2 linked regions of the Canis lupus familiaris genome follow. The protein of the gene in region 1 purifies or fractionates together with the protein of each later gene. This does not show direct contact. Links are inferred from orthologs where the notes say so. Each region holds a gene or a part of one and is shown on either strand. Other genes may lie near its edges.

Region 1 (6,433 bases):
GAGCCGCCTGAGACTCTCTCCCCCTTTCCCTCTGCCCTCTCACCCCCCACTCACACTCACTGGCTCTCTAAATAAAATCTTTAAAAAAATAACACAAGACTGGTCTAGAAGTGGCAACAGAGCTTTCAAACTTTTTCAAAGACAGACTTGAGCTATAGCAGATTGGGACAGGTTCAGTGACCTAAGAAATTATGAGAAGGAGGGGCACCTGGGTGGCTCAGTTGGTTAAGCATCTGGCTCTATTTTGGCTCCGGTCATGATCTCGGGGTGGTGAGATTTACTCCCATGTAGGGCTCAGCACGGAGTCTTGCTTTTCTCCCTTTACCGACCCCCAATCTCTCTCTCTCTCTCCCCCCCTCTCAAATAAATAATTCTAAATAAATAAATAAATAAATAAATAAATAAATAAATAGGTAGATAGATAGATAAGTAAATAAACAATTTTTTAAAAAATTATGAGAAGGAAACAATAATCTTATGTCTTCTGAGAAAGAGACAATTTCTACCTGATGTATTGCCTTTGTGGGATATTAGCTAAAACAAGTTAGAGATAAGCATTAAGGATATTCTGACCCAGGTGGAAGGGCAAGGCCTTTAGTTATTTTACAGCATCCCCACCCTTTAGCATTATTTGAACTACACTGGGTAAAGCACTTCCAGGGACAGCCAAAGATGCTAAGTTTTATATTTCAGGAGATACCATTTCAAAAAGGAAACAAAAATAAAAGTTCAACTCCTTAATAAATCTTTGGGTAATTCCACCACCACCACCCCCGCAACCCCCCCAACCCTCCGCCAACGACAGCCCTGTCCTAAAATGAAAACCTGGTTCCTCATGAATTTCTTTCCCCTGATCTGCCAAGTATACCCCTATCTCTACCAATCTTATTCTTCTCATGCACCTCATCAATAAATACCTAAGGTTTCCCTATTTCCTACAGAGTTAGCATACTAACTCACTCTGATCTCAATAGTTTGAATTAGGGAACACAGAAACTTCGTAACATTGCCAGGAATTACTTTGCTAACCAATACCTTAAAAAAAAAAAAAAACAAACAGTTTAAACAAAAGATGGCAGTTGTGATTACACAACTGTGTACATCTGTCAAAGCTCATCAAACTGCACACTTAAAATGGATGAATTTTATCGTATGTAAATTAGACCTCAATAAAGCTGAATTTTAAAAAAAAGTGAGGGCAGCCTGGGTGGCTCAGTGGTTTAGCACTGCCTTCGGCTCAGGGCGTGATCCTGGAAACCCAGGATCAAGTCCAGCATCGGGCTCCCTGCATGGGGCCTGCTTCTCCCTCTGCCTGTGTCTCTCATGGATAAATAAATAAAATCTTTTAAAAAACAATAATAAGAAATAATAAAAAAGAGTGTTTCTTCAGCAAGTATTTACTGAGCATCTATTATGTGCTTCAAAGTTTATACCAAATCTTTCAGCTTGACTGTGTCCTACCTGTAACTAATGTGCTTTACTTATAAGCTGACACTATCCCAAAAAGCCAGTATTACATGAAAAATGGTTCAGCTTCTGATTATGAATGTCACCCTAATTATGGCTTCTACAGTGGAAGGACCATTAGCTATCCAAATTTTCCATTATATAAGTGAAATCTATGATCACCCAAGTACTCTGCATTTCAACACAAATGCTTCTGGGGGGGGGGGGATATATAGATATATAAATATATACATACACACACACAATATACACACCTACAGTATATAGGACACACCACTAGCACAAAAACATCTCAATAGCATACTGACAACATTGCTGGAAGAAAAAGAAGGCAATACTACTGGGGAAAGGACCTAATTGACTTATTCTACAGTCCAAGGTGAGCCAGTGGCTGAGTTAAAGGCCTAGAAATTAATGCAGTGTGCATAATGGGAGATAACCAAGGACCTCACAGACTGGGTTTGAATTCCAGCTCCACCTCTTACCATCTGTATGTGTAAACCTGGGGCAGTCACTTTACCTTCTGACCTTCAGTTTGCCCATATGTGAAACAGGGGATGCCAATTATGACCTACAGCATTGTTGTGAAAACTCTATGAGATATATACCACCAAGCACAATTACTGGGCACAGAGTAGGCAACTCACCAAAATTAAGCTCCCCTTCTTGGTCTTAAATTATTCAGGAGTAAGAAAATGCCTATTAATCGAGGCTAATTCATAATCCCTGTTAGTAATGACAGTACAACAATGAACCTGTACTTGCTGCCTTGTTCATACTCTAATCAACTCCCTTCCCCAGCCCACTATTTCCAGTTTTTCAAACTTTAGTTACTATGTTTAGAAAAGTGATTTAATTTTAGAAACCTGGAAAATTCTTCTGAGTAAATTGAGCAAAACCTTAATCTGCCCCAAGGGGAATCCTGAGCAAAAATAATTATTTCTGACAGAAGAATTTTTCTATGGGAGTTACTTAATTTAACCACACGAATGCTACCAAAGCTGCACACAAAGTGACAAAACAATCTGGAACATACCGTACAGATTCTCCAAAGGGAAATATCCTCCTAAAATCCAAACCTCTCCCTCCCTTCCTAATCTAATAAAATCTTACTAGGTGATCTGAGTTCCCCCAACACGAGTCCAGCTCCTTACAGGCCAGAACTGCAGCAGTCCTTAAAATGCTCTGAACAAAAAAAAAACAAAAAAAAAAAACCTCTGCAAACGTCCCCAAAAGGCAGGGAGGTCCAGAGAATATTTTCTCCCCAATCAACAGATAAGGCAACCAGGAGCTCCGAAGCACACAATTCTTTTCCCAAGGTCATTCGAGTCAGTGAAGGAAGGTGCGACGGAGAATCTGCAAGCAATCCCTGGCTTTCTGGAGATCACACTGCAGGGTTGGTTTTCTGTTGGGTTGTGGATGGGGGGACTGGGGGGGGGCGGTGGAAGAGGAGCGGGGGGGGGGGGGGGGCGCCCGGTCTCTTCCCTTCTTCCCTTCTCCCACCCTCAAGTGTGAGCACTGGTCTCGGCATTTCCGAAACAAGCCACAACAAGCTTGCAGGGTTAGGAAAGGGGCTGACGCGACGGAGAAACAGATGCTCCAAAGCAAGACGGTCTTTCTCGGCTCGCAGAGCCTCCTCTCCAAGGTCATCAAGAGAAACCGCAGGCACGTCTGCGGGCTCCCACGCGGGCTCCGAACCCGCAGCCCGGCCGCCCCGGGAGGCCGGCTCCCCCGCAGCAGGCAGCCTCCGCAGCCAGAGGCCACGGCCCCCGAGGCCGCACTTCGTTCCTGCGCTCGGGGCAGCCATGGCTCCTTCCCGGCGCGCAGGGGCGGGGGTGCGCGGGGAGGCGGGCGGCGGGCGGCGCGCGCTGCGGAAAGTTCACCGCGGCGGCGGGGGGCGGGCGGCGGGCGGCGAGGGGCGGCCCGGCCCGGCTCGCCCGCGTCCCCCTGCAGATTCCACCATTAATTAGTCCTAAGGACTGTCTACTGGCAACTTAAACAAAGCGAATGCCTCGAATTCCTTCCCGGCCCAGCGGTCTGGCTGCGAGGCCAGCATCGGCCGGGACGCGGGCCGGCGCGGCGGGCCGACAGCTGCGGCGGCGGCGGGACCCCTCCCCCGGCCCGCGCCCCCGCAGCCCGCTCCCGCAGCCCGGCCGACCCCCCCCCCCCTCCTCCTCCTCCTCCTCCTCCTCGGGAGCTCCCGGGCTCTTCCTGTAAGATCACTTCCTTCCTCCCCGGGTGCCCGCGGGCCCCGCGCAGCCCCCTCCCCGCCCCCCCCCACGCCGGACCCCAAACTCGACCCGAAACTCCCCTCCGCCCTCCCCCTCCCGAAAACGTCCCCTCGGCTCTCTGCCCCGAACGTTTCTCCTCCCGGAGCCTCACTCCCACCAGAACTCTCGCAGATCCTTCCCTCCCCCTCCAAAAGAAGAATTTCCAACTCCAAAAAATTTCTCAAGGTCTCGCCCCAGAAGGTCTCCCCTTCCGAGCCCTTTCTCCAAAATTCCTCTCCAAGGCCGCCCCCTCCCCCGCCTCAACTCCATACCCGCCCCCCCCAGCCCTCCCCGGGGTGCGCCCGCCGGTCCTGCCCTGGCGCCCCTGGGTGCGCCGACCCCTTGCCCGGGCGGGCCGCCCCTCCGGCCGCCCCCTCCGGCCGCCCCAGCCCCCCCAGCCCCCGCGCCGCGCGCCCGCCGCCTCCGCGCCGACCCCTCACCTCGGCGGCTCCGGCCCGCGCTCCCGCCCGCGGAGGGGTCCAGCGCTCCGCTCCCGGCGGCCGGCGCCTCCTCGGGCTCCCCGGGACTGACAATGAGGGGCGGGGCCAGATGGTGACGTCAGCGCCCTGGGGGCGGGGCCTGTCGTGGGGGCGGGGCTGCCGATCCGCCCCGCCCCCTCCGTTCTTTTCCTCCTTCCCAGGACTTGGATTTTGCCAAGTTTCTACGGCTTGCCTAAGTGCCCGGGTCCTGTGCTAGGCGCGGTGTGAAATCGAAATGACAGATAAGAAAGATGTCCTGCTTTCAAAAGGGGCACTCCTGGCGGGGGGTGGGGAAAGGGGTGGGGGGGGAGGATTAAATGAGATAATCCACGTAAAGGTGTTTAGCCCAGAGCCTGGTATTGAATAATCACTCAACGAATACTATTTATAATACTCAGCAATTGTGGGAAAGGCCTTCAATGTGGAGGCATGGCTTCCAGTCCCCAGCTCTGCTATTAATTCATGGTGTGACCTTAGACAAGTCTTTTCCCCTTTATGTTTCTCGCTTTTACCTTCTTTAAGATGGGAAGGAGGGATGACCAGATGATCTCAAAAGTCCCTCCAATAATTCTGTGACACAGTTCCCGAGGTACCAACGGCCCAGAGAAGTGGGGAGGGGGGCCTTTGAAGGGACCCCAAAACCCACAGCCAGTATGGTACAGGACACAGCCACAGACACACTCCCCACGGATGCCCTCCCACATCCTGGCACAGAGCTGCATTCACAAGCCAGGACACAGATGCGCTGAGAGTGGCTACCCCTCAGACTATAGCAGCATAGCTGGTCTCTTGAGACATCTCTTGTGTAAACTCCTTATTGCCTATGGAATAAGGGCCAAAACCCTGGCCTGGTCCGGTCTCTCCCTACCTTTATACACACACACAGACATACACACACTGTAAAGTTTATCCAGACTTCCACCTGCACACCCACTGCTTTCCCACATCTGCCCCATGGCTCATGCTCTTCCTCTGCTGTCTCATCTCAACTTACAACTCCTCCTAGATTCCCCCAACCTGGAGCCGACTCTCCCTGTTCTCAATAATCCAATACCTGTGTGCTGTATTTAACTCTCATGTGCGCATGAACACATTTTAACTAGTATCGCATTGACCTCCTGTTTCTTAGCACTTCCTCACTTCCTTGAGGTCAGAAACCACGAATGTTTAGTAGTGCCAGAAAACCCAGGGATTATACACCCATGTTCTGGCCCATGCTAGCTCTCATTCTTCTCATGTGTAAAATGGGGATATTCATATAGTCCTTGCAGTGTTTGTTCTGAAATTACATAGAACACTGTGCGGAAAGCACCAGGCACAGTGCTCCAGAAATGATGTCGTTGTCATTCTTACTTTCATCATCACCATCAATATTATTTCCAGCTCCTAACACCACACACCACCCCTCGTGATAATTCACCCAATCATTTCATAGAGTTCGACTCTGAGGTCCCGAGAGAGGAAGAGGCCCACTAAAAGTGGCCCTGCAGAACACTGCCCTTGGGAGTGAACCAACACTACAGTTTCTAGACCCCAGGGAGATTCTGCGGAGTCACATGTGACGCCCCAGGGTGTCTCTGTCACTCAGCACCTGTCCAAGTGGGGGACAGCTTTGAGTTCTCTCGGCAAGTTATTTGCGGCAGAGCTGACCCATTTCTCCCTCATGCCTTTCTGCTCTCACTTCCCTTACAAAGAGATAGATCTGTGTTAAACTGCCCTTGGCATCTCTGCAGTCCCTGAGGAGAGCTGCAGCAAGGCACTGGGCGTTTCCAGAGTGCTGGCCTGTGGGAAGAGGGAAAGGGCTTTGGGGTTCTGATTAATTTCCTGAGCTGCAGACAGGCAAATGGTTGTCCTGAAATGCCTGGGCTGGTTCTCAAGGGCCCCTAACAAATTGCAGCTTATTTTTAGAAGAGGAGATTCAAAAATGCCACTTCCCATGAAAAGTAGGCATGGCCACAGGATTGCTCCAGGCAAAGAATGGGCCTGTACTGAGTTCCTCCTATGTGGGGACGCCAATTCCAAGCATTGCAAACCATTGGCAGAGAGAACCCAGGATGCACAGCGGAGGTTCTGAAGGCAGAGCATTCTCTCCAAGATCCATGAGCCCATCCATCACATCTTCGTTCATTCACAGCAAAAGGTTTGGCACAGAAAAGCTCAGAATGCAAATCTCAGCTCCATCACTTGCCACTTATGTAACCTTGGGCTTTCAAGTCT
Region 2 (6,467 bases), on another chromosome or scaffold:
AGGCCAGGCAGGAGCCCAAGAACAGAGACACACAGACTAATGAGGGACGCCGTTGCCAAGCCAGCAGGGCCCCCGAAAAAGCTGAGGAACCCAACTGGGTTTGTTTGATAAGCGGACCAGGCAAAGTTCAAGGTGAGCAGGTGGGAGGTACAAAATTATTACTAACACACTGGGTTGAACGACAGCCCCCACTAAATGCCCACATGTGAATCCCCAAGACCTGTGAATATATCACCTCTCCTGGTAAAAGGGACCTTGCAGGTGGAAGCAAGTCAAGGCCACCGAGGTGGGGGTGACCCTAGGTTCCTGGGGGGCCCAGCGTGCTCACTAGGTCCTCACAAGAGGGAGGCAGAGGGTGGGAGTCCCAGAGACGAGCAGACCTTGCGCTGCTGGCAGTGAGGACAGAGGAGGGGCCTCGGGCCAGGGAGGCAGCGTAGGAGCCGGGTCTCCCTGGGGCCCTGGGGGGACCAGCCCTACAGGTCCACTACAGACTCTCGACTCCCAGACCTTTCACATAATAATTGCACACTCTTCTAGGCTGAACTGTGATCACTGACAGCAGTGACAGGAGACTCAGGCCTCGCCCCCCCCAATCCCCTGAACCTGCTACAACAGTCTCCTGGGTACATCATGCTCCTGTCCCCTCCATATCTCCACTAACTCTCCCGCCACCTGAAATGCTTTCCTTTCTCTTTTGCCTACAGCAGCCAAGCTAATTTTTCCAGGCCCACCTCCAGTCCCATGACAAACTCCTGATGGTAATGCCATTGAACGCCGAACATTCACCTCATACCAGTGGCACTGTGCTTCGAGCTAGACGTGGGGCCTCATTTTCAAATGTATGGATTATTTTTCCCTGCTTTATTCTGAGCTGAGCTAACAAATGAAGAGCAGTAATGCTCATGGAAACAGGTAAAAAGATGCTATTCTAGACTGAACTGTGTTACCCCAAAAATCCATGTTGAGGTCTTAACCCCCAGCACCTCAGAACGGGACTATCTGGAGACAGGGCCTTTAAAGAGGTGATTCAGTTAGAAAGAGCTCACAGGAGAGGCTGAACCCAATCTAATCCAAGCCCTTTTAAGAGGAGAGCAGAACAGATTTGTTCTGACAGAGGGACAGCCCTGGGAGGCCACAGGGAAAAGATGGCCATCTGTACATCAAGGAGAGGCACCTCAGAAGGAATCAGCCCCAGTGACACCCTGATCTGTGCCTCCTGCCTCCAGGCCCGGGAGAGCATAAACCTCTGGTTCGTGGCCCCCTGTCCCAAGCCAGCCCAGGTGCACACATCACTCTACCAAGGCAAAGCCAGGGTGAAAGTCCACACTTGTCGACCACAGACTAATTATTTATTTCCCAAGACTATCAATGTGAACTAGGAAGAAAGAATTCCCCAACCCCTCCCAAGCACACACACAAAGAAACTTGCTTCCAGTTCATGTGGCCCCATCCCCCTGGAACAACAAAGTGTCGCCCTGTTTTAGTCCTGGTCCTCGTTGCCACGGTGATGCTTGGCAGCTAACTCCCCAAAGACAATCAGCAACTGGCCTCAGGGAAGACCCTGCCTGCCTCTGAAACTGAGAGCTCCCTGCAGCAGCCACCTGCCACCTGCCAAAGTGCAGAGCAAGCATGGGAGAGGATGCTCTCAGGGGCAGAAGGATGCATGCTCTTCCTGACGTGCAGGGCTGCTCTTCACTGGGACCTCTAATGGGCCTGTTCCAGGGGGGCAGGCGGAAGCCTAATGTTCACCTCTGATTCCAGAATGCCTGGGCTTTGCACCCAGCAGGGCCTGGTCTCAAGGCTTGACCCCCACATGGCCTTGGACAAGTTGCTTCCCTCCTTTCAGCCTCCACTCCTGTATGAAACGGGGAGGGTAAGCACACCTGCCTCGTAGGTCCTTTCGCAGATGAACAAAACATAAAGACAGACTAGAATTCAGACGTCAAAACGACATCCGTAACTCATACAAACTGCAGCACAGTGCTCACAGTGTCCTGTCCCTTGAACCCTTCACCTCATGGTTCTCTGAGCACAACTGGGATCACCAGAGCAGTGCTGTCCAAGATGACAGGCACCAGCCACATGGTGGCCCACAGGCCAGTCCAAACCGAGATGTATTCTGAGTGTGTATCACACACCAGACCTCAAAAGCTTCATATCAAAAAGAAAGGTGGTAAAATTTTTCATTCATAATTTTTATTGTGATTACAAGCAAAATGTAATAGTTCAATCTATTGGGTTAAATAAAATATATTAAAACTATTAAAACTGACACAGCTACTACAAAACTTCAATACACTTCTTAGGTGGTGAACATCATATAGGTTGCCTGGATCCTTGTAATGGCTGCGTAATATTCCACCCACAGAGGCAGTGGTGCTGGGGGGACCACTGAAGAGGCTCCCCGCCCTTTGTTCATATACAATCCTTACAGCAACCACCCCTGTTCTTGGGTCACTGGGTTTGCATATGCATGTATTCCCGCTGAATTAATTCCTAACAGTGGAGCTGGCGAATTAAGGGGAATCTACATGGGACACTGGCTGACTTTTGCCAAGCCACCCTCAGCAGGAGAACCTAACACATTTTCAACAGTAAAGGATGAGATTGGGCAGGGGGCATGGGGGAAGAGAAGGGGACGGGGTGAGGGACCCTACATTCTCTACGACTCTATTAAGGAAATTCCTAAAGGAGAGACTTCAGAATCCCAAATGAGCCTGAAACACTTTCTCAGCCAAGGCCTGAGGCACGACTCAGTTATTTACATTCCCTTTTGGTGACATCATGGGTTGGTCAGCAGAGAACTCACCAAATAAGGTTTGAAGCTGGAGGGGGGGGTGGGGTGGGGAGGAGATGGTGACTGGCTAGTCTGAGGCAGGGTGTTCTCAGGGGACACTCAAGGCCCCGCCAGACAGGAAATCAGCTGCCTGGCTGGAATGGGAAACCTCCGCGCTTTCCCACAAGAATGCTAAACAATTGGCAGGGACGTGGGCCCAGACAGGAGGCCTCTCCTGCAAACGTGCCCGAGAATCAATCACCTCCCTCAATCAAGACAGGCTTCAACAGAGGGACAGACCTTTACCAACAAACACCGCCACCACCTACCGCTCTCATGTCACGTGCCAGGCGCTCTGGTAGGCGCTCCATGCGTTCCACTCTATTTTTCCCCGAAGGAAATGCACAGAGAAGGTCAGAGCAAGAACGTGCGGTCAGGGCCACCTGACTCCAAAGCCTAAATTCCCTCCGCCAGCACATGCCACTGACTCATTCGCGCTGGAGAGGGGAATGAAGGACAGGAGGGGGGATGCGATCTGGAAACCCCCGCAGCGCCTCTTGCTCTTGCCCATGCCCGGAGCCCTGGCGGCCACAGGCCCTGCTCACCTGCCCAGCTCCTCCCCCATCTCATAGTAGTCTTCCACGTCTTCCTGCCTGAATGTGGACATGGTGGGCGGCCTGCCTTCTGGTGCCCTCCTCTCACTGAAGGCTGGCGACAGGACCTCAGGGAGTCCCTGAGCTGTGACCTGGAGGAGACAGGGAAATAGGGAAGAAGTGAGACACCAGCCATTACTCCTAAATGGAACAACTAAGTTCCCCCAAAACTAAGTTCCCCGATCCTCGGCCAGGGCACGTGCATGTGGCGCCCGGGGTGCTTTCCTGTTATCCCGCTCGGTGACCACACCACCCAAAATGTTGGTGGCAACCCCACTGTGCCCGCTTAGCCCCGAAACCTCCCCCAGGCCCACGCCGCCGGCTCCCCTCACGCCGCCCCAGCCCTTCTCTGCCTCTCCCTCCCAGGCTTCTCCCGACCTGCTCATCCAAAGCCCCCCCTTCCTGCAAGTTCCCCCACACTCCGCACACCCTAAGCCCCGGGGCTCCGCACGCCTGCCCAACTTGCTGAGTCGGCGCGGCGCCGGCCCCCGCAGCTCCCCTCCCCCACTCCCCCCGGACCCCGGCCGTCAAGCTCGCGCCAGCCCCCGCCGCCGGCCCCTCGCCCCGGCCCCCGGCGCCCCGCCCCCGAAGGCTCCCCCGCGGAGGCCCCCACGCCGTCTCCCCCACCCGCAAAGGGCCACACCGCAGAGCCTCCTCCTCTGCCCTCTGCCCTCTGCCCCGACCCCGGGGCGAGCTCGGGGGCAGACCCCCCGCAGGTGTCTCCGAGCCCTAACCCCCGCTAGGAGCGCCCCGGAGGCCGCCACGCCCCTCGCAAGCCCCGACCAGCCCCTTCACCGGCCCGCTCAGCCCGCGGGTCCCCGGACGTGCCCCCGCGCCTCCAAGAGCCGCCCCGGCCTCCCCCGCCCGCCGCCGCCGCCGGCCGCGCCCGCTCCGCACCCTCCGCGGCCCCGCGCCCCGGCCCGCCGTCTGCCGCGCTGGCTACCGCCGCCCTCCTCAGCCCCGCCGCCTCGGCCACCGGGACGCTTCGACCCGCGTCGACGTCACCGCGTCCGCCAGTGCCCGCCCCCCGGGGGCGGTCCCCGCCGCCCATTGGCCAACGCCCCCGCCGCTCGTGACGCCCCGCCCCCGGCCGCCTTCCAGGCCCCGCCCGCCGGCGTCCGGTCCTCCGAACCCGGATGCCGCCTCGCCACTGGCTGACACTTTCGCCCTCCCGCAGCCGATTGGCTGGGGCGGACGTCGGGCACACTTAGGAAGTCGGAAGGCCGACTTCCGGCCCCGGGCCGCCCCGCCCACTCTCCTCTGACCTGGGTCCTGAAGCCGAGGAGCTCGGTGCTGACCCTCTGCATCCCTCTTACCTTCCTAGAGCTCGAGATACGCGAAAGCGCTCCCGCACGACCGCTCCTGGGGTGGGCCCAGGCACGGCTTTCGTCCCTGACTTCAGTTTCCCCCTCCGTAAAATGTTACCCACATCCCAAATGCATAAACAAAAATGCAGATGAGGCCGGTCAGGTGTTGCCATTCATCCTTGAGACATTTCTGATTCCTGTTGTCTCAAGACACGGGATGAAGCAGCTAGTTCGTACGAACCACGCAACAATCTTAGGAGGTAACGTATGTTAACATTTCTCTCGTTCTACAGACGGGGAAGCCGAGACCAGAGGTTAAGTAACTCACTGGGAGTCACACAATGTCATGGCTGAGATTCATTCCCAGAAAGACCCGAACCCAAAGCCGGTGCTGCACCACTGCAGATGCCATGTGACTAAAGACCCCAAGTCTTGAGCGTCCCCGACTATCCTGACCTCATGCTGTTCTGTCCTCATTCACCCCACTCCAAGCTCATTTGCCTTCCGATTTCAAACATTGCACTCCCACCCACGTATTTGCACAAGTTGGTCCTTCAGCCTGGAGATCGCCTTTCTCCATTCTTGTTTAAAGTACCTCCCACACCCATTGCCAACTACATATTACATTATGGCACACTTGTCACAACTAGTGAACCAGCAATACATGATCATAACCAAATCCATCGTTTATTCAGATTTGTGTTCCCGAACATCATCATCCTCTTGTATCAAATCTCATCCGGGATCCCACATATTCAGTCCTTAAGAGTCCTCATCGTTTCACTTTCCTTTTAGTGACATTGACAGTTCCAAGGACTGGTCAGGTATTTTGTAGAATGTCCCTCAACTGGATTTGTCTGTTATTCTCATAGACTGGGGTGATGGGTTTTAGGGAGGAAGACCAAGTCCTCTTCTCATGACACCGTATCATGGGCCCAGGTTATCACCATATTGCTGTTCACGTTGACCTTGGTCACCTGGTTCCAGGTAGTGTCCGTCCGTCAGGTTTCTCCAGAATACTTTTCTCCCCTTCCCATGCCGTATTCTTTGGAACTAACTTATGTAGATACCACACTTAGAGTCGGATCATTTTTCTCGAAATAACCCAATAAAATATAGTAAATTAGACTTGGGTATACGGCATTTTCTCAAAAACCTTATCACAAAGGCAAACAATGGACAGGATTTGTTGCCAATGGTCAAATTTTAACCACTGTAGAAAAAAAAATCCAAAACTTGACAGTGATTTCCTGATACTTCAACCCTTCCCTGATGAAACTGTTCCATGAATGTGACCTTTCAGTATTTAATGAAATGTATCCACTGGAAAAACAGCAAACGTCGTATACCAGTATTTCCAAGGAACTGATGCATGGTGTTACAAAAGCATGCATGGGAAAAGGACACAAAGTGCAAGATGGAGCCAATGGAGTTTAATTAACAGCATGAAAAGCTCATCGATACGATTTAGGATACCACATAATTAAATTACCACTTGAGTTTTTGGTGTTGTATCAAAGAATACCCACACCAACCACCTGAGAACAATTCTTAAAGTGCTTCTCTTCTCCAAGGACAGGAATGAAGCTGGATACGCTACATAGAATCCAACCAAAACCACGTTATCACGATAGACTTAACACAGCAGACGTGATAATCTGGCTTCTATTAAGCCAGAGAGTTCAAAGATTACAAAAACGTTGAATACCACTAATTTTTTGGAAGGTTCTT

The links. The genes of interacting proteins can lie anywhere in the genome.
Region 2: the proteins of LUZP1 (region 1) and DAPK3 purify together in Homo sapiens (affinity purification with mass spectrometry; 3 studies listed by BioGRID and IntAct, with this or other methods). This does not show direct contact. The link is inferred for Canis lupus familiaris from reciprocal best matches to the Homo sapiens genes LUZP1 and DAPK3.

What each region holds. Positions count from the first base shown.
Region 1 is NC_049223.1:75,612,569-75,619,001, reverse strand, and holds the start of LUZP1 (leucine zipper protein 1), read right to left. Parts: upstream 4,293-6,433; 5' UTR 4,178-4,292; intron 1-4,177.
Region 2 is NC_049241.1:55,984,727-55,991,193, reverse strand, and holds the start of DAPK3 (death-associated protein kinase 3), read right to left. Parts: upstream 4,447-6,467; 5' UTR 4,327-4,446; intron 3,522-4,326; 5' UTR 3,444-3,521; coding exon 3,382-3,443; intron 1-3,381. UniProt on the Homo sapiens protein: Serine/threonine kinase which is involved in the regulation of apoptosis, autophagy, transcription, translation and actin cytoskeleton reorganization. Involved in the regulation of smooth muscle contraction.